2 linked regions of the Diceros bicornis minor genome follow. The protein of the gene in region 2 interacts with the protein of the main gene of each other region in a pairwise test. Links are inferred from orthologs where the notes say so. Each region holds a gene or a part of one and is shown on either strand. Other genes may lie near its edges.

Evidence for each region.
Region 1: the proteins of SWSAP1 (region 2) and ZSWIM7 interact in binary tests that used the Homo sapiens proteins (3 or more experiments, as listed by UniProt). The link is inferred for Diceros bicornis minor from reciprocal best matches to the Homo sapiens genes SWSAP1 and ZSWIM7.

The regions. Positions count from the first base shown.
Region 1 is NC_080757.1:2,750,838-2,761,586, reverse strand, and holds the start of ZSWIM7 (zinc finger SWIM domain-containing protein 7), read right to left. Parts: upstream 4,471-10,749; 5' UTR 4,418-4,470; coding exon 4,327-4,417; intron 3,759-4,326; exon of another isoform or gene 2,117-3,758; coding exon of another isoform or gene 2,083-2,116; coding exon 2,061-2,082; intron 1-2,060. Other genes in the region: TTC19 (tetratricopeptide repeat protein 19, mitochondrial), read left to right, coding at 4,655-4,838, 4,924-5,051, 6,731-6,841, 7,296-7,334, 8,335-8,391, 8,713-8,774. UniProt on the Homo sapiens protein: Involved in early stages of the homologous recombination repair (HRR) pathway of double-stranded DNA breaks arising during DNA replication or induced by DNA-damaging agents. Required for meiotic progression, hence for fertility.
Region 2 is NC_080769.1:8,098,975-8,106,647, reverse strand, and holds SWSAP1 (ATPase SWSAP1), read left to right. Parts: upstream 1-5,123; coding exon 5,124-5,369; intron 5,370-5,961; coding exon 5,962-6,465; 3' UTR 6,466-7,113; downstream 7,114-7,673. UniProt on the Homo sapiens protein: ATPase which is preferentially stimulated by single-stranded DNA and is involved in homologous recombination repair (HRR). Has a DNA-binding activity which is independent of its ATPase activity.

The DNA.
Region 1 (10,749 bases), on a different chromosome or scaffold from region 2:
ACATGTCCCTTGGTGTACATACATGAGAATTCTTCCTGGTTATGTAAGTAAAAGTAGAAATGCTGGGTCTTAGGATATATGCATTTTTAAATTTTAACAAGTGTTGCCAATAGCTTTCCACTGTGGAAAAGGCACTCCCATCAGCACTGAATGAGAGTTCTATTTTCTCCACATCCATACCAACACAGCATTATCAGACTTTTTCATGTCTGACCATCTGATGAGTGTTAAATTTGTACTTTTTGGATTAATAATAAAGGCTATCGAGCTGTTAAATGATATATCAGAAAAAATTTGATAGGTGGGAAAATTCTTATGTTAGGTGAGAAAGCTTAGGCATAAAATTGTATATTTAGAAACTCAATCATGTGAAAAAATTTTTTAAGAAAATCTACAGTTATCTCAAAATAAAATGTTTAATTTTTAAAAAAAGGCAATAAACTGAAATGTAACAGTGATTATCACTGGGTGGTATAATGTTGATGCTTTTTATGTTTTCTTTATTTTCCAAGAACATTTTTTTTAATGAGTATAGGTTATTTTTATAAACTGGAAAATAAAATGGCTGGGTTGAACTAAAATTGAAGAGTTAATGTTTTAAAGAACCCATAGGATTTTTACACAAAATAAGAAGACAGAACTACTAAGCCTTCAAAATTAAAATGTTCAACTTCACTTTCCAAGAAACTAGTCTCTTTATACAACAAACTATTTAAATGGGAAGAGTTTTTAAATTTTTTACATTAAGCATATTAAGACTGCCTATGGACAAAAAAAATAAAGAAATAAAACGTGGTGGTAACTTTATCAATCAGAGATAATCACCATTAACTTTAAAAACGGATCTAAAAAGAATTTTTTCAACCTGCTTTGTACACTTCATAACATATTATAAACATCTCTTGAATGCAATATTTTTTTATATCACTTTTAATGGTTACAAAGAATTCCATTGTAAAGATGAACTACTTTTACTTCCCCAAACTCTATCTTTGGATGAGAGTTTATCAAATCTAATTTGAATAACTAGATTGTTTCCAAGCTTTTTTTTTCCTACCATAAACAATACTGGATGCTCACTGTAAAATCTTTATGAACATCCATGATTACTTCCTTGGGATACATTCTTGTAAGTCATATTTCTGGGTCAAGGAATGTGTATGTTTTAAAGCGTCTATTGCCTGTTGCCAGATTACCTTCCAATTTACACTCCTACCAACAGGGTATCAGTTATCCTTTTCTCCACGTTCCTGTCAACATCTGGAACATTCTTACCAACATGTTTTCTGTGGTAGTCAGTTTTATAGATGGAAAGGTTATCTCACTATTTTAATTTGTATTTTTATGATCACTAGTAAGATTCATCTTTTTTTCCCAAAGTTTTCAGTAATTTGCATTCTTTTATTTGCCAATTTTCTTTGTTTTATAAGTAGCTATTTTTTTCTAGTAATGTATAATCTTTGTAGAAAACTTCAGAAACAGAGAAAAGGTTAGAGCTCTTTTCTAAATTCCCCTCTTTCCTTCCCCCTAAGATAATCACTGGTATAGGCTGGTGTATATCCTCCTGGACTTTTAAATATAAGTGTATATATGCAATTAAATGTCATTTATCCCTAAGTAGCTTTCACTTTTTTATTGCTATTGAGAAAGTAATTATATTTTTGAACTTTGTGTATGAAAGAAAATGATTTTTAATTTCTGTATTTTAAAAAAATAACTTTATCCTCTTGGTTTTTAAAAAATAGTTATATCATCTACAAATAATAACTGTCTTTCCTTGCAGACAGGTATACTTCTAATTTTTCATGTGTTAGTGTAACAGCTACAACTTCTAGAACAATGTTAAACAAAAGTGGCATAGGACAATATGGGAATGCCTTGTACTGTCAAATATGGTGTTGGCTATTCACTTGAGACAGATTTTTAACAATCATGTCAAGAAAATATTGTTCCTAGTTTAGTAAGAATATTTTCAAAAATCAAGAGTTGATGTTGAAAGGATTTGGCTTTTAAAATACATTAATGGTTAAAAAAACAAATATGACAGCATATGTACTTACGATAAAAGATGTTCATCAGGAACTGTAAAACAGGAAATGGAAAGAAAGTTAATCATGTTAAACCAGTGACCACAGACATAAAAATCTTAAAAAGACTATAACTAAAAAGACTTTTGTGTAAGATGGTGAATTGAGCCTGTGCACCTAATTTTACTCCTTCCCAATATTCCACTAAACAACAGTAGAGGGATTTGTTTTAAAAAGCCTAAACTCCCAAGGATGAGAAAGACAGGGAGACACAACAGCTAAGATACACTGGAAAATAATTTACAAGACCTGAGAAAATTGAATCCTAAGCCAGCAATGGTGAGAGCTAAGCAACAACCTGATTACATTCCAGAATCCACTCTCCCACCCAAAAAAAAAAAAAAAAAATCCCTCAGCAACTGGTGGCACCAGATAGCTCTGGAGCAAGGGATGAAGCAGGGGGGCTAAAATAAGAAAGACTCTTTTAAAATAAGTTTAAGAAGCTAGAAGGTACTGGAATAATGCTTTCAGATGGCTGAAGAAGTATTATTTCCAACACATGATTCAAAACCTAGCCAAACTATCAATTAAGTGTGAGAACAGAAAAAGAACTTTTCCAAACATGTAAAGCCTCTAAAAGTACATCTCATGTCCTCTTCTTCAGGAAGGTTCTAGAGTATGAGCTCTATAAAATAAGATAGTAAACTCATAAAAAGAAAATTGTAGGATATACTCAACATAAGGCTCAACATAGGCAAAGGAAATTCCCAGGATAATAATGGTGAAGAGATCTCAGGAGATAGCGGGGAGAGCAGCTGGTCCATCATCAGAGTAACTCAGAAGGCTCTAGGAGAGACTTCTACAGGAAAACGAAATTGATGAAACATTCACTTGAACATCTTGAGTAGGGATCTACAACACTGGTAAAGAGTTTGAGGTTGAATTACGGATAAATATGTAGAAAACTAAACAAGCAAACACACACAACCACGACAGTTATTAATTCCAGGGAAAACAAAAAGTTATGCAGGAAAGGAAAAGTGAATCATAGCTTCCTACATGGCTCAGCTGTAACTAGACTTTACCTCCTCATACAAGTGTAAACTCAGGATCTTGATCTAAAAAAACTACCATCGACGGATGGGGGTCAGGAACAGTGTATCACTATCTACAACCAAGACTTTAAAATAGCAGAAAGCGGTTCTGCTGAAAATAAACATCAATCAACGGCAGCAGTCCCTCGGTCTGAGCCACGAGCACCAGCGGCACCCCTCAAGGCTGTCACGGTGTACGGATTAATCCACTCGGACAGGGCCCGCTTCTGTCAATCACTGTGGGAGCCACATCAGACTGGCTTTCCCCCAGCCTCGCTGGGGTCAGAACGTGTTTGAACACCTGGCTGGCCTAATCTTCCAAGCACGTATACTGTGTTAGTTTGAACTGGAACGAAAAAACAAGTTGGCTTACTCTTCTCAATCCTCTGAAAACACTAAAAGTCAAGATAAACCCTTTCAAAGTGCAGTCGTTTCAACACAAGAGCCATCCACGCGAATAAGCAGTGGCCGTATTGAGGCCTAATCTGCTATTTGTTAAACGGCCACTTTTACACCGGTGGGTAGTTCTAAGCAGTCGGTGCATTTTGATTACACGTATCCTCTTGATACTAGTACGCTGCGAACACATCTTGAGACCAGCTCGGTGCTTCTGGTGAGCGCGGTCTCACAGCATCCTCTGCTGGTCGGAGGAAAGAAAAGGTACTTTCACAGTATCCAGATTTACTCGTCACTGCGTATGCATTTTGGGTTTCTGGCCCTAAAATATTTACTTGCTGAACAAGGCGTATGAGAGAATTAATTTTAAAGTTAACATAAGATCCTGAGGGAAAACGCCTGCAGGCAACTTGAACAATTCAGAACTTCACCTCTCTGTAAGTCCGCGTGGGCTCCGGGCCCTCCGCGCTCCGGCCCGGGGCCCCTTCACACGCGTCCTCTGGCCGCGCTCGGCACCTCCGTCCCGGGCTCCCCACTGGCCTGCTCTCTCCCTGAGGAGGGGCCGCAGGAGGAACCGCGCTGTGCCCTCAACACTTCCACCTTTTCTTATCCTTTGTTTTTTTTGTTTTACGACTAGGAGGTCTGGCCACTGAACCACACCACAAAAGAGCACGGAGGGGCCAGGGCTAGAGCGCGGGGCCGGGGCCCCAACCCAGCGCCCGCAGGCCGAAACCCCGGCCTCTCGCCCCCCGCCCGGCGGGGCGAGTCCGCGGCCCACGACGCAGCTACACACGCCCTCAGGCCCGTACTTCGCGCGCTCTCCCGCACTGCCGCGGCCATCTCGCTTAGAAGTTCCTCCACCACAGCCGGCAACGTGACCGCCGGCAAGGCAACAGCCATGGCGCTTACAGGCGGCGGCCTCCTCAGGAGGACTAGCCGGCGCGACGCTGCGACAGACGCGCGGGGAATTGCCGCCGCCAGCCGGGGCGGGGCGAGGCGCGGTGACGTCACGTGCGTTATCGCGCAAGCGGGCGGTGACGATGACGCCTCCTACCAATCCGGCGGGAGCTGGGCGCCGGGGTCGGGACGTCCCGCGCTCCGGCCGGGCCTGCAGTGCGCAGAGGACGCGGCGTGAGCATGTACCGACTGCTGACCCAGAGCCTAGGCCGAGGTCTCCTGCGGACCGCTGGGCGGCGGTGCCGGGGCTGGCCGGCGCGCCCGCTCCTGGGGCCGGCAGGAGGCCGGCTGCCCGAGGTGGAGGTGCCGGCCTCCCGAGTCGCGCCGCCCGGCCGGGGTCCGGGCCTGCTGCCGCTGCTGGCAGGTGAGAGGCGCGGGCGGGGCGGGGCCGTCTGGGCCGGGGTCGGGGCGCGGGCCGGGCCCGGTGACCTCAGAGCGCCTTCCCGCAGCCCTCTCCTGGTTCTCGAGGCCCGCTGCGGAGGAGGAGGAGGAGCGGCGGGGAGCGGGCGGGGCCGCCGCCGGGGACGCGGCGGACGAGGCCGAGGCCGAGATCATCCAGCTGCTGAAGCGAGCCAAGGTGAGGCGGCCCGGGTGCGCGAGCCTGGAGGCCTTGTCGATGCGCATTCCTCTCTCGTTTACCCAGGACTCGGTGGAGGCTCCGAGGGTAGACTACCCGGAATTAGATGGGTCATGGGGGCGGGGGTTAGGATCCACCTAGGCTCGTCAGACTCTAAAGCCTGCAGTGAAACCGCTGCAGTCTCGGCTGGAAATGGAGATGGCACCACAGGCATCGGCCTTTTATCCAAACAAAATTTGCAGAAGTGTTTTGTAGTTGTTTTTATCAGTGAACCTGCCAAGCTGAAAGGACTGGCATAGAGAATTTTGCACGTATGTAGCGTCCTGAAAATGCAGTTTAGTGTTGGTTATGCGCGGTTTGGTTCTGTCTTTTTAAACTCTTCCTTTTGTCCACAATCATTTCTATTTTTTCTTCTCCTCCCCAGGTTATCGCATCTCTTCCATTGTACTAACAACCGCCTCCAGGCCAGCCAACAACGTCCAAATTATATATTCCCATACTGCAGTGTGCTCCTGCCATGCCGTCCCCACTTTGAGGTCCCTCCTACCTCTCGGACTTAACCTGTCCGAAGCTAAACTCTTGATCTTAAATGCCTCCCCGACACATTCCTTCACCATCTTCTCTTTACTACTGTCTACCCAGTTTTTCAGCCTGGAAACCTCACAGTCATTCTTAAAACTTGTGGTACCTTACCATCGCCTCCCAGTTCACTTACAGTCCAGCAACAAATCCTGTTGCCACCAAATCCAAGATATTTCTCAAGTCTGCCCCCTTTTCTGTCTCTCCTGCTGTCACTCTACTGTTGCTGCAGCCCACTATCTAGTAGTCTTGTCTGCTCTGTTGCTCCGCCCTTACAATTCATTCTCCATGCAGCAGCTAGAGTGATTTTTTTAAAATGTAAGTCAGACCATATCACCTCCTTGCCTAAAGATTTTGAATGACTTCCCTCTGCATTTATGGTAAAATCTAAACTCTTATGCCATGGCCTGCAGGACCCTACATGGTCTACACCACCCTGCCTTGCTTGCCCGTTTGGCAATAATCCTGTGGCTCACCATCCTCACTTCACATCTGTTTCCTTTCATTTCTTGAATGGTTCTTGAAGAACCATTCTCTTCAGCCTCTAGGGCCTTCACTCATTCCCTGCTCTCTGTTTGGGTCATTTTTCCCCATAATTCCTTATTTGGCTGACTCTCATCCTTCCTACTTCAGTTTAACTGTCACTCCCTTGGAAGGCTTTTCTGACTTCCGTTTAGAGGAGACCCCTTTTTGTTCCTTTCCATTGTTTTTCATTATAGCTCCTATCATTAGTTGTAATTAAGCTTACTTGTCCTACAGGGTCATTTCCATCTTGCAGGAAGAGAGAAAGAGGATGTAGGGCAAGCAGCTTCCTTATAAAATATGGTATAAAGATTGCTCATATTCCTGCTGCCTGCATCTGTTGGCCAGAACTTTGTCATATGGCCACACATAGCTGCAACAAAAGCTGACCACCTCTGTCACTATTATAGACATAATGCCTGGTGCATAGTAGGAATTCAGTAAATATTTGATGAATGAATGAATAGCTTCCTTGTATGTATTGGAGTGTATAGGCATATCCGATTCTGTCTGGTAGCACATGCATCTGCTTTCTTTACATTTCATTTCCTATTATTTTCTTTGTTTTTTCTTTTCAGTTGAGCATCATGAAAGATGAGCCAGAAGAGGCTGAGCTAATTTTGCATGACGCTCTTCGTCTTGCCTATCAGAGTGATAACAAGAAGGCCATCACTTACACTTATGATTTGGTAACTCTTCTAACCAATCTGAGTCCCTGATGATGAAAGATAGATGCAAGAGAAGAGTTTTTAGCTCTCCTGATTTATATTCCTGACCTTCAGGATGTCCTAAAACGCTTTGGTTTTTTGTTTTACTAAGTTTTCTTTTGGTTTCAATTTTTATTACCCTTGGGGTGTCACTTATAAGAAGTCTCAAACCCAGATCAAATTTGACAATATTTGTTTCTTCAGCAATGAGTGGATTTAGATTTGGTTTGTCATCAGCAGAGTGTATGTATATCCAGGTGTTTACTCTCACACTGTTGCTGAACTTTGCTGTTAGCAGATTAGTGACATACTTCTTTCTCTGAACTATTTTTTTATTTAGAGGGTAAAAGCAAAAAGGAATCTTTAGCTTGAAGATTTTGAAGTAAGTAGGAACACAGTGCTCTAAACTGAAAAACAATTTGTAATTTGCTTTCAGATGGCCAACTTAGCATATATACGGGGTCAGCTTGAAGATGTAAGTAAGTAAATTACTTCGTAATATTTTGAATAATATTGAATTTATGAAGGAGTAGCCTTAAGGGAACTTTATTAATAAGGCTATGGGCTAAGCTGCTGTAGCAAAGAGACTCCAAAATAGAGGGACTGAAACGAGAAGGAGGTATATTTCTCTTTAACGCGTTAGTCCAGAGGTAGCTAACACTGAAGAGGGATAGGTACCTCTGCTCCATGAAATGGTCCAGAAGCCCAGGTTCCTTCTAAGATATGTCCTCATCTACATAGGTGAGCTAGCTCACCTCCAGCCTGCAGGAAGGAAGAAAGAGAGGATGGAGGGCAAGAAGCTTTCTTATAAAATATGATTTAAAAATTGTTCACATTTTCTTCTGTCTTCATCTCTTGGCCAAAACTTCATCATACGACCACACCAAACTGCAAAGGATGCTGACCTATTAAAAATTGAGGAGATTCTGTAACTAAAAAGATGGAGAGGAGAGTGACTATTAGGGAATAGTTTGCAGTCTCTGCCACAGTGGGTTTGGATGAAAAGTTAATTTCTGAAGTTGGTTTCTACTCATCACAGAATAGTTTGTAAGGTGCCCAGAGGACGTGGGATCCTGGAATTTTATTCTTTTTTCCCATCACAAGGGCACTTTGTGTGTATATGAGTGTGTATATTGTGCTTTACAAGGAATGATGCATCAGACTAGTACTTAGAATCCAGAGTCATATAGATATTGGGGGCCAAGTGAAAAAAAAATCTTGGGCCGGCCCAGTGCCATAGCCATTAAGTTCGCATGTTCTGCTTCGGTGGCCTGGAGTTTGCCGGTTTGGATCCTGGGCACGGACCTACTCACTGCTCGTCAAGCCATGCTGAGGCGCTGTCCCACAGAGAAGAGCTACAGCTGTACAACTATGATACACAACTATGTGCTGGGGCTTTGGGGAGAAAAAAGAGAAATATGTTAACGCAGGGCCAATCTTCCTCAACAAAAAAAGTCTTTTCCTTATGCTTTTAGGCAGAAAAACTTTTTAAAGCAACAATGAGTTACCTGCTTGGAGGGGGCATGCAACAGGTAAGGACGTTGCCTAGGATTGGGCTGTAGCTGAAGCAGTTTTCACAATAATCTTGCTTCCTGAAAACTCCACCCAGTCCCCAACATGTGCTTTGGCCAAAAAAGGTGGATTTTTTTTCCCCCAGGACCTATATAAAAACTGCCAGTCTTTCACTCATGCAAAAGCATGGTAGCTGAGGAATTCAAAGTTGGCTAAATCTGGCTAAATCCTCCTAAAGGATAAAGACGTTCAGGCCAAAGTCAGTCTAGAAGTTGATCTGAAATATTCTTGAGGGAATTTTACTTGTCATGAATATCCTTCATTTTTCTTTCTCCCAACAGGAAGACAATGCAGTCATTGAAATCTCTCTAAAGCTGGCCAGTATCTATGCTGCTCAGAATAGGTAAGTATAGTCAGAATCTAGGTGTGGCAGCAGCGAGGGGGTAGGGCTGTGGGCAGAAATCTTTGCCTGTTGGATGTTTTATAATTTTCATTTACCTACTACTACTAATCATCTGGGTCTCCAAAAAATTGGATGTCACACTCAAGGTGTTCCCTCCCTCATCTCTGGAATCTTCATCTTTTCCAGTTTTGCCCCTGCTGTTTCCATTAGCCTGCTGAGTGGGGCAGAAAGCCCTCACACCTCTGGCTCACTGTGACAGAGCTAATTAAGTTTTCTGTTCCGTGTTGAAGTGGGGCGGGAAGTTATAGGCAGAACTTTAGTTTAGCTCTTCCTTGAAGAGGAGGGAACAATGTAGAGGCTGCTGGGGATAATATACTTTAAAGAAACCATTTTGCTGATATAAGTGTCAACAAACCAGGAAGTTAGGCATAAAGTTAAATGATGAGAGAGTTGCTGTGGGAGTGTCTCAGTGGCTAGTTGAGTGGGCAGTGTTTTTAAAGCATGTAGAGATGATCAGGTAGCTAGGTTTTTTGGAAGGGGAAATATCTAGGAGTAAAAGACCTTTGGGTAAGTAGGACAGGAAGTCGGTGCTAATTTAAAAGTATTAGATGAGTCTAAATTTGTGTAAAGAAGAAAACACCTGCCAGCTACACAGGAAAAGCTTTAGAAAACAATTTGGATGTGTGCCAAAGATCAGGAATACTGATGAGTGAGGCCTGGTGCCTTTCATTCTCTCTGGGTGGAGTTCAAAGGAGAAACAGGTAGGATGTAAGCAGAGAACTCCTCTAGAGATTTGTATTTTCAGATGATTTTTTTTTCTTTTGTGAGGAAGATCAGCCCTGAGCTAACATCTGATGCCAGTCCTCCTCTATTTTGCTGAGGAAGATTGGCCCTGGGCTAACATCTGTGCCCATCTTCCTCTACTTTATATGGGACGCCACCACAGCATGGCTTGACAAGTGGTGTGTCGGTGCACACGGGGGATCCGAACCTGCGAACCCTTGGGCTGCCGAAACGGAGCATGCGCACTTAACTGCTGTGCCACCGGGCCGGCCCCTTGGGTGAATTTAAGGGAAGACCTAAGAGTAGCTTTTCCTTAGGTTTTTAGTTACTGCAGAAGTTGGATACCAGAGGTTTTGAATGACATCAAGCCTAGTGCTCCAGAAAGAGTGCTCGTTGAGGCCAAGGGTCCTGGCACTGGTCTCTGCTCCCTTAGTCACCAGCTCCTTCATTCTTAGCAGGACCCACTTAGTCTCCCTGCATTTGGTTGGACACCAGATAAGCTAGAGCTTCTGAGGGCCTTGGACTTTAAGTCTTTCGAGGAGCTTTGAGGTTGGGCGTGTCAGGAGCATTGCAGCTGGGATCAGTCTCCCTTGGAGGAGTAACAAACAGGACTAGATGTTGATGTGGTATGAAATTCTAGGATAAGAAGCTCAAAGCTAATAACACTGGAGAGAAAGACATTCATGGTCTTATAGAGGTGAAAGCTTGTGTAATAGCCACTAATAATTAGCCTCTAAGTTACTCTATACTCTCCTCAAAAGTGTTTTTTCATTTTGTTTTATTAAGAGAAGCATGAGACCAGAAAATATATGGCCAGATCTTCAGACTTAGAAAGGCTGATTAGTTAGGAGGGGAGTTGTTTCTAGACATTTTGCTCTGACTAGGAGCATCTTGTGGGCAGCCTGCCCTTGCTCCATGTCCTGGCTGAATAGGGTCCTCCTGCCAAGCTTTGGGTCTTGGGAAGCTTCGGTTCTTCTGAGAACAGACTAAAACTGTGGGGTCATCTGTTCTCCCCTGGCAAAGCACCAGGAGAAGGGGTAAGCTTTGTAGTGCCACTTCTGGTAAAAAACTAGAGCCAAAACGGAAGAGCAAGAACCAGGGCTGAGCTTCTGGATGGAGAAGGAATTTCTGTCATGTTTCTGTGCATCTCTTTGTAGAAACCAGCAGTTGACACTTGTTCTATCCAGAGTCA
Region 2 (7,673 bases):
ACATCCAAGTGGGCATAACTGGGAGGTGGGCCCTTGCCCCTAGGATTGCCCTTTTAAGGGCCTAAGCCTGACCCCAGTGGCCATTGCCCAGCCAATGGGAGCCCCCAGTTCTCAGAATTCTAACCAAAAGGAGTTTCCAGCAGCCAATGGGAGCCTCCCTCTCACTTCTTAGAATCCTTAGACAAGAGGGCAACTCCGGCCAGTGTTGAGCGTCTGAACATGGAATAGGAGTCCTTGGTTTTCAGAATTTCTAGGGTGGGTGGGTATGATACCAGTCAATGGGGGACCGCCCATGGCCAAGCACGTGCAAGGGAGAGGAGGGAGATGGGGTCATCCTTTGTCATCGGGTGCTCTCTCCTCAGTATCAGAGAGTCCAGCCAGAGGGTGGGGGGCAGGATCCCCCGCAGCGGGGACCTCGGGGCACCCGTTCCCCCTAGCCCCTCCCCCACATGTACCCTCTCCCCCAGTCCCTCCTAACTCCCTCCTTATGCAGGGCTTGCCCCAGTTCAAAGGTTTTGGGGTTCAGGGTGCTGTGTGTCTTCTTGCCTGTGTCCACGTCACCCCAAACCCTTTTGTTATTTATTACGGCTGTGGGAAAGGACTTTTTTTTTTCTTGGAACCCACCCCTCTTCTTCACACTGCCCCCCATGCCTCAGCCTCCTGCAGCTGTGCCATCATAGGGGGCATGGGTGGAGCAGAGAGGGCTCCCCCTCCCTGGGCACTCAAAGGCAGTGGGCAGAGGAGACACTGCCCCCCTTTCCTGCCCTCTCCTTATCTTTAATAAAGACCTGTTTGTAACAGAAGTGTGGCCACCTGTCTTCCTCTCCCAGGTGGCGAGATGTGGAGGACTTAAATCTGCGTCTGGGTGTCTGTGGGGCTGGGTGGGGGTGTATTGTCCCAGTGTGTCCGAGGGCGATTGTGGAGAGACAGTGTGGAGTCGTGGGGCTAGCGACTTGGGTTTAAATCCTGGCTCAGCATTTCCTGGTTGTGTGGCCTCAGGAAAGTTAATTAACCTCTCTGTGCCCTTGTTTCTTCATCTGTCGATGTGAACGGCCCCACAAGCCACACGTGAGGCTCACGGTGATGGGCCTCACGTGACTGTCTTCCCCTGGCAGCTGGCCTGCTTCTGGCCACAGCCAGGGTGCAGAGGGCATAGGGTGACGGGACCCTGAGGGTCCTGATAGCAAAGGGGGATGCTGAGGGCACTAGGAACCTCTAGCTGAACCCCTGGCTGCAGGGATGAGAGCAGGGGTTCTGATTGTGAGCTTGTGCTGAGTCCCAACCGTTGAGGGCCCAACAGAGACCAGGGAGGGCAGGAGGGGCAGGGAGTCACTGACCCCGCCCCCCACGGCTCTGCGGGGCTTCAGACAGGCAATTCAGGGCACAGAGTCATCCAGGAACCAGGAAAGGGGAGTCTGCTTCCCTTCCCCCTCATTCGTTCATTCAACAAACACTGCAGAGCACCTACTGTATGGTGCTGTTTCGCTAGGCACAGGCGCTAAGACACAAATTCCTGCCCTCACAGAGCTCGCATTCTAACATGTGAGAGACAGACAATAAACAAGATAAATAAGTTTTATACAGAGCCACAATCCTAAATCTTAAAAAGGTCTGACAACCAAAAATTGTTTTGTAACTCATTTGTGCATGAGGTTATGTGAGGCTGATATGAGGTTATGTGTAGCTCTTATTTATTTAACATGTGAATATTCTTGTTTTGCTGCAGATAAAGCGTTTGATTTGGGGATGTTATCCTAGGACCCACTAGGGGCTTATGCAATACATAGTATTTACACGACAGTACCTTTTGAAAATCTGAATAAGTCTGAATTCCAAACTCTAAGATCAAGGATTTAGGTCAAGGATTGGGATCTCTGATATGTTGAATATTGATAAGTGGTAAGGAGAAAATTCAAGCTAGAGAAGGCAATGGGGCAACTATGGGATGGGGACACGGTTTGCAACTTAAAGAGGATGATCAGGGTCCTTGTCTCTGAAGTGATGGCGCTGGAGATGAGGTGTGAAGGTGGAGAGGGAAGGAGACATGAAAACATCAGGGGTGGAGGGAGAAGCGTTCCAGGCAGAGGGGAGAGCAAGCACCAAGGCCCTGAGGTGGGAACGTGCCTGCTGTGGTCCGGGAGGTGAGGACACCCGTGTGGCTGGAGGGGAGTGAGCGAGGGGGAGGTGATGGTGCTGATGTGGGGCACGGGGAAGGAGATGGGAGCATGAGAGGGCTGGAGGCAGAGGAAAGAGAGAATCCGCTTCACCGACCAGAGCTCCTATTTCCAGGGGTCGCATCCCTGAGACCCATGGTCCCCCTGTCGTACAGCTGCCTCCACGCGGGCCAGGAAAGAAGCAAAACTTCAGCACGGCGGACAGCGCCTCCTGGCCAGCCCACCTGGCGCTGTCCATGGTTCTGATGTTAAACGGGGGCCAAGAAAGGGTAAAGTGGGGGCTAGAGAGGGTGGCGACAGCAGCCCTGGCCTTGCCCACACCCCCATCCCAGGATGGATAATGTCAGGTAGAGAACCCAGACTAAGGTGTACTTGCTTATTCAAAAACCTCATCAACGTGCCCCCGTGGGGGTCTCACATCTTAAACTCAACTCGATCGAATCTGAGCTCCAGTTTAGGAAGTAAGTCAGACCATGATCCTCTTTTGCTCAAACCCTCTCATGGCTCCCCATGGCACTCTAAGTAAAAACCAAAGTTCTCCCGATGCCTCAGGGCCTTTGCACTTGCCAGTGTCTCCATCTGGAATGCTCTTCCCCCACATTTCTGCATGGTTCACTCACCTCCTTTAAGCCTTTTCTCAAATGTCACCTTCTCACTGAGGCCTGTCCCTGCCACCCTATCCAAAATGTCAAAAAAAAAAACAAAACTGGCCCTTCTGACTTCCCTCCCCTCTGCAAACTTTTTTTGGCATACATTTATCATCTGCTCATAGACTATTTAAACTGATTTGGCACACAGTAGGTGCTCAATAAGTGTCTGCTAAATGAATGAACTAATCACTCAGGATGCTGATAAACCAGGAAGAAGCACAGACTGGCCCTGAGCTGTCCACTTCCCGGTCCCCTCATCCTTCAGTCCTCCTCCTCCGGGAAGCCCCTCTATGGCAAGGGTCCTACTGTCAGGATATGAAGATGGGATTCTGAGAAGTGAGAGAAAGAAGCACTGTGTGCATGAGAGATATGCCAAACACCTGCATCTCTGCCAGTGTACCCACTCAGCCTACATTTATGAGCACCTACTGTGTGCCAGGCCCTGTTCTAGGCACTGGGGACCCAGCAGTGAACAAAACAGAGACCCTATCCTGGTGGATATGACATTGTAGTCAGGAGAGAGGCAATAAAACCCAAATAAAAATACATAACGTTGGAAGGGTTAAGTTATTCGAAGAGAAATAAAAATGGAGACACAAAGAATGAAGGGTGTGCGATTTTACACATGTGGTCAGGGAGAGCCTCTCTGAGTAGGTGATATTCGAGCAGAGATCTGAATGGAATGGGAAAATGAGCCACAGGGATATCTTCGAGCTGAGGGCTCTCAGCAAGGGAACAGCGAGTGCAGTGGGGCTGTGTTCAGCATGCTCCCGTGTATGCGACTGTGCGGGACTGTGTGACACGGGTGTCCTTACTGAGTGCTTGTGCATTTGGGGTGTTGCAAAGTGAGGGGTTGTGCATCTTTTGGGGGGGCTGAGGCGGTGCGTCTGACAAGGCAGTATAACAGTGTACCGTGTGTGTGTGTGTAAAGAGCTGTAGGCACATCAGCTGAAAGGAAACGTGACTATGTGTGTGTAGCGGCAATGGTATGGTTGTATTAGAGTGTGTTCTGGCGTGTGTGCAAGGGAAGGGATGTGGGGCATGAATGTGGGAGAGAGTGTGTATGGGATGCTTCGTGTCAGGGTAGGACAGGGCTGCGAGCATGTGGGTGATGGGATTCTGGAAGCAGAATATATACAGAGATGCCGTGGTGTGTGTGTGTGTGTAGAGTGGTGTGGGGGTGCCGGCTGTGTGAGTGGGTGGATTGGGGGATGTTGTGGAGCTGTGTTCTGGCCCCAGAGGGAGAGAGAAAGCCCAGGAAATCTCAGTTCGCCTTGCCCCTGGGTCTCCTGGCAACGGCACCACTTTGAAGTTACCAAGAGACAGAGTTGCCAGGGCAACAGGGGCGTGAGTGGCAGCTCTGGGGCGAAGTCTGGGTGAGGAGACCCAGCCAGCGATCACTCGATCGCTCACCTTGTTCCTCCTTCTCTCCCAGTTTCTCATCAATCCCACCTTCCTTTCTTCATTCATTTACTTAATGAGCACATGTTGAGGATCTACAATGAGCTAGTCACTGTTCCGGGCGCCGGAGATACCGAAATGAGCAAGACAAACAAGATCCCTGCCGTGGCTCTCCCTCAGTCTCCCCGGCCCTGTCTCTGTGTTGCCCAGTGCCTTCTTTGGTCTATGGTCTTGCCTTCCCCCGTACCCCGAGCAGGACCCAAGGAACCCCCAGGGCAATGAGGAAGACAGTTGAGAGCCCTCTCCTCACAGCCCCTCAGAGATGGCTGCTGCTGTTTTGCACACGAATGTCGCCAAGCCTGCAGCCCCAGACACACACTTGTGCGGGTACTCGGGTGCAGAGAGACACGAGCACACAGCTCATCCATCCCTCCACTTCTCCATTGTCACTGGGTGACCTCAGCGGAAACACACACAGACACATGCCCATCACGATATTCCTCTGAGACATCAGGAGCTCCATTTTACAGGTGAGCAAACTGAGGCTAGGAGACTTTAAATAATATGTCAGCGATTAGGGCTTGCTCCCTCCAACTCTCAACCCTTTTATCTGTCTGATTAGCTGACTAGTTCAAAATAATAGTATTCGTGCTGCTTCCCTCAGCAGCTCACCTAAGGGAAGGAAGAGCCTTTTCTCCCTCAAACGCCCGCATTCCTCCTCCCTCAGACTAGGCGATTTGCCGCTTCACCAGGGGAGGAGCTAGCAAAAGCCGATCTACCGTTGATGGACAGATCCATGCACCAGTGGAGACGCTAAATGCGCTGTAACCAATGATGCCTCGTCTTGGGCGGGATTAAGGGCAGGAACGGCCGCCGATTGGACAGAGTTACATTCCGAATGGCGGAGACGCTGAGGCGGGTGCTAAGCCGGGGCAGCGCCGCCGGGTCCGGGGAGAACACAGCCGAGGCTGGGCCGCCTTTGCTGCTGCTCGGCGGTCCCGGCTCTGGAAAGACAGCGCTGCTATTCGCGGCGGCCCTGGAGGCGGCAGGGGAGGGCCGAGGGCCCGTCCTCTTCCTGACCCGGAGGCCTCTGCAAAGCCTGCCTCGCGGGACGGGGGCAGCGCTCGACCACCTGCGCCTGCAGGTAACCGAGGGCGGGATCAGAGGCGGGCCAGCCAGTGGCGGGGCGGATCGACGATTGAGTGACAGGTAGACAGACCAATGGCGGGGACGAAGGGAGGACGAGCCGGAGCAGCCATTTTGGGGCGGAGTCAGGAACGAGCCGGGGGGGGGGACCATGCGAAGTTTAGTTAAGATTGACTGAAATGCCGTCCAATGATGGAGCGGAGTTAGCGAAAGGGTGGAGTCAGGGGCGAGCAAGGGGCGGGGCTAAGCTTAGGTCTAGCCTGGACACGAGTTGGTACCAGTGGAACTGAGTCAATGGTGGGGTCACACTGGGGACGCCACGGGTGGGTTTTCCGTGGAAAGACTGCCCTAGAGATTTGGCAAAAAGACACACCTGTTTTCAGCTAATACCAGGCAGTGATGAGTGCTGGATAATAAGAGGGGGAGAGGGCAAAAGAATATTGGATCACTGTGAACTGCTTCACTCTGGTACCAGCTGTCCGGGCAGTGAGCGCCTTGTCCAGGAAATTATGCAAGGAAGCGGGGCTGCTATAGCTGGGAATCTGGCTTCCTGTGCTGAATCTGGCCCTTTCCTTCTTTTCTCCCTCTAGAAGATCCGCCTCCAGTACCCACCCTCGACCCGTGAGCTTCTCCAGCTCCTGTGCTCTGCTCATGAGGCCCGGGGGCCAGCCCCCTCCCTCCTGCTGCTCGATGGCCTGGAGGAGTACCTAGCTGAAGACCGGGGGCCCCAGGAAGCCGCCTACCTGGCTGCCCTGCTTCTGGACACAGCTGCCCACTTTAGCCACCGAATTGGGCCTGGTGGTGGCTGTGGGCTCATTGTGACCCTCCAGACCCAGGAGGAGGGAGACATTGGGGACGCCCTGCAGCTGTCACTGCTCCAGCGGTATTTCCCTGCCCAGTGCTGGCTGCAGCCAGATGCACCAGGCCCAGGACAGCACCGCCTCCGAGCCAGCCTGGAGCCAGGTGGGCTGGGCCCCAGGGCAGAGTGGTGGGTGACTTTCCGACCAGATGGAGAGATGACAGTCACCCCGTGGCCTACCCAGGCTGGCGACCCCAGCTCAGACAAGGGTTCAAGCTCTGGAGGGCAGCCTTGAGCTTTGGTATGTGACAACCTCTCTATGCCTTGGTTTCCTGTGTCTGGAATACTTCCCCCAGGGAAATGTGCAGATTCCAAGACCTAAAGAATGTAAAGTGCTTTTTCTCTTTTAAAAGTAGCATTACTGTGTACATATTATGCTCAATCAACATATTGTTTCGTTTTGCTATTTTGAACTTTATAAAAAGAGTTTCGTGATAAATGTAATCTTATGAGACTTCCTTTTCTCCCACTCAGCATCGTTACTAAGACTCAGCCACATTTTCTAGTGCATTCCTTTTTCCCTACTGGGTATAGTTCCAGTATACCCCAATTTAATCATCAGATTGACTTATTTACTGCTCTGAACATTCTTGCACACATGTCCTGGTGCATGTGTGTGAGAGTTTTTAGGGTATATACCTAGAAGTGGGATTCCTGGAGCAGAAGATATGCATATGTTCAGCTTTCCTAGGTTATATGAAACTTTAAAAAAATGATTAAACCAGAACTCCCATGGAGCCACTTGGTGACACTTAGTGTCATCAGAGTACTTTCTTTGAACAGGGCCTGTCACAGAATAAAGCCCTATGAATTAATGTTATTATTATTAGTGGCAGAGACAAGCTAGAGGTTCATGAAACAGCATTCCTCTGGATGCACAGCTAAACTACATTTCCCAGCAGTTTGTGGGACTAGCTGGGGGGGGGGGGTCACATGACTGTTTTTGGCCAGTGGGATTTATGAAGAAGAGATGGTACCCACTTCTAGGCTAGATTCCTAAAACGGCCCACAGAATCTTCTGCTGTCTCTCTCTTTGCTTGTTGGCTGGAAGGATACAGAGGATCCATCCAAAGATGTGAGGGTGGCCTTGAGGGATGGTGAAGCCACAGACCAGAAGAGTCTGGGCTTCTGACTCATCCCAGGGATGGCTGCCCACCTGCCTGAACTGAGATGTGAGAGAGAAACCATTTAATGTTAAGCCATGCAGATTTGGGAGTTGTTTGTTACGGCAGCTAGTATAACTTATACTGACTGATTCATTTTATTAGGATTATCATTCAGATTGCCAGGGCCAGAATTTCAGACTGAGCTCAAGGCTTTTTACTGCTGCCCCTATGGCCTGGGCCCAGGGACAGATGGGGCTTACAGGCCATTTGCAGAAGTCATGATAGAAAAACTTACATATATATATCTATACAAAGAACTATACATTTTAAAATACTG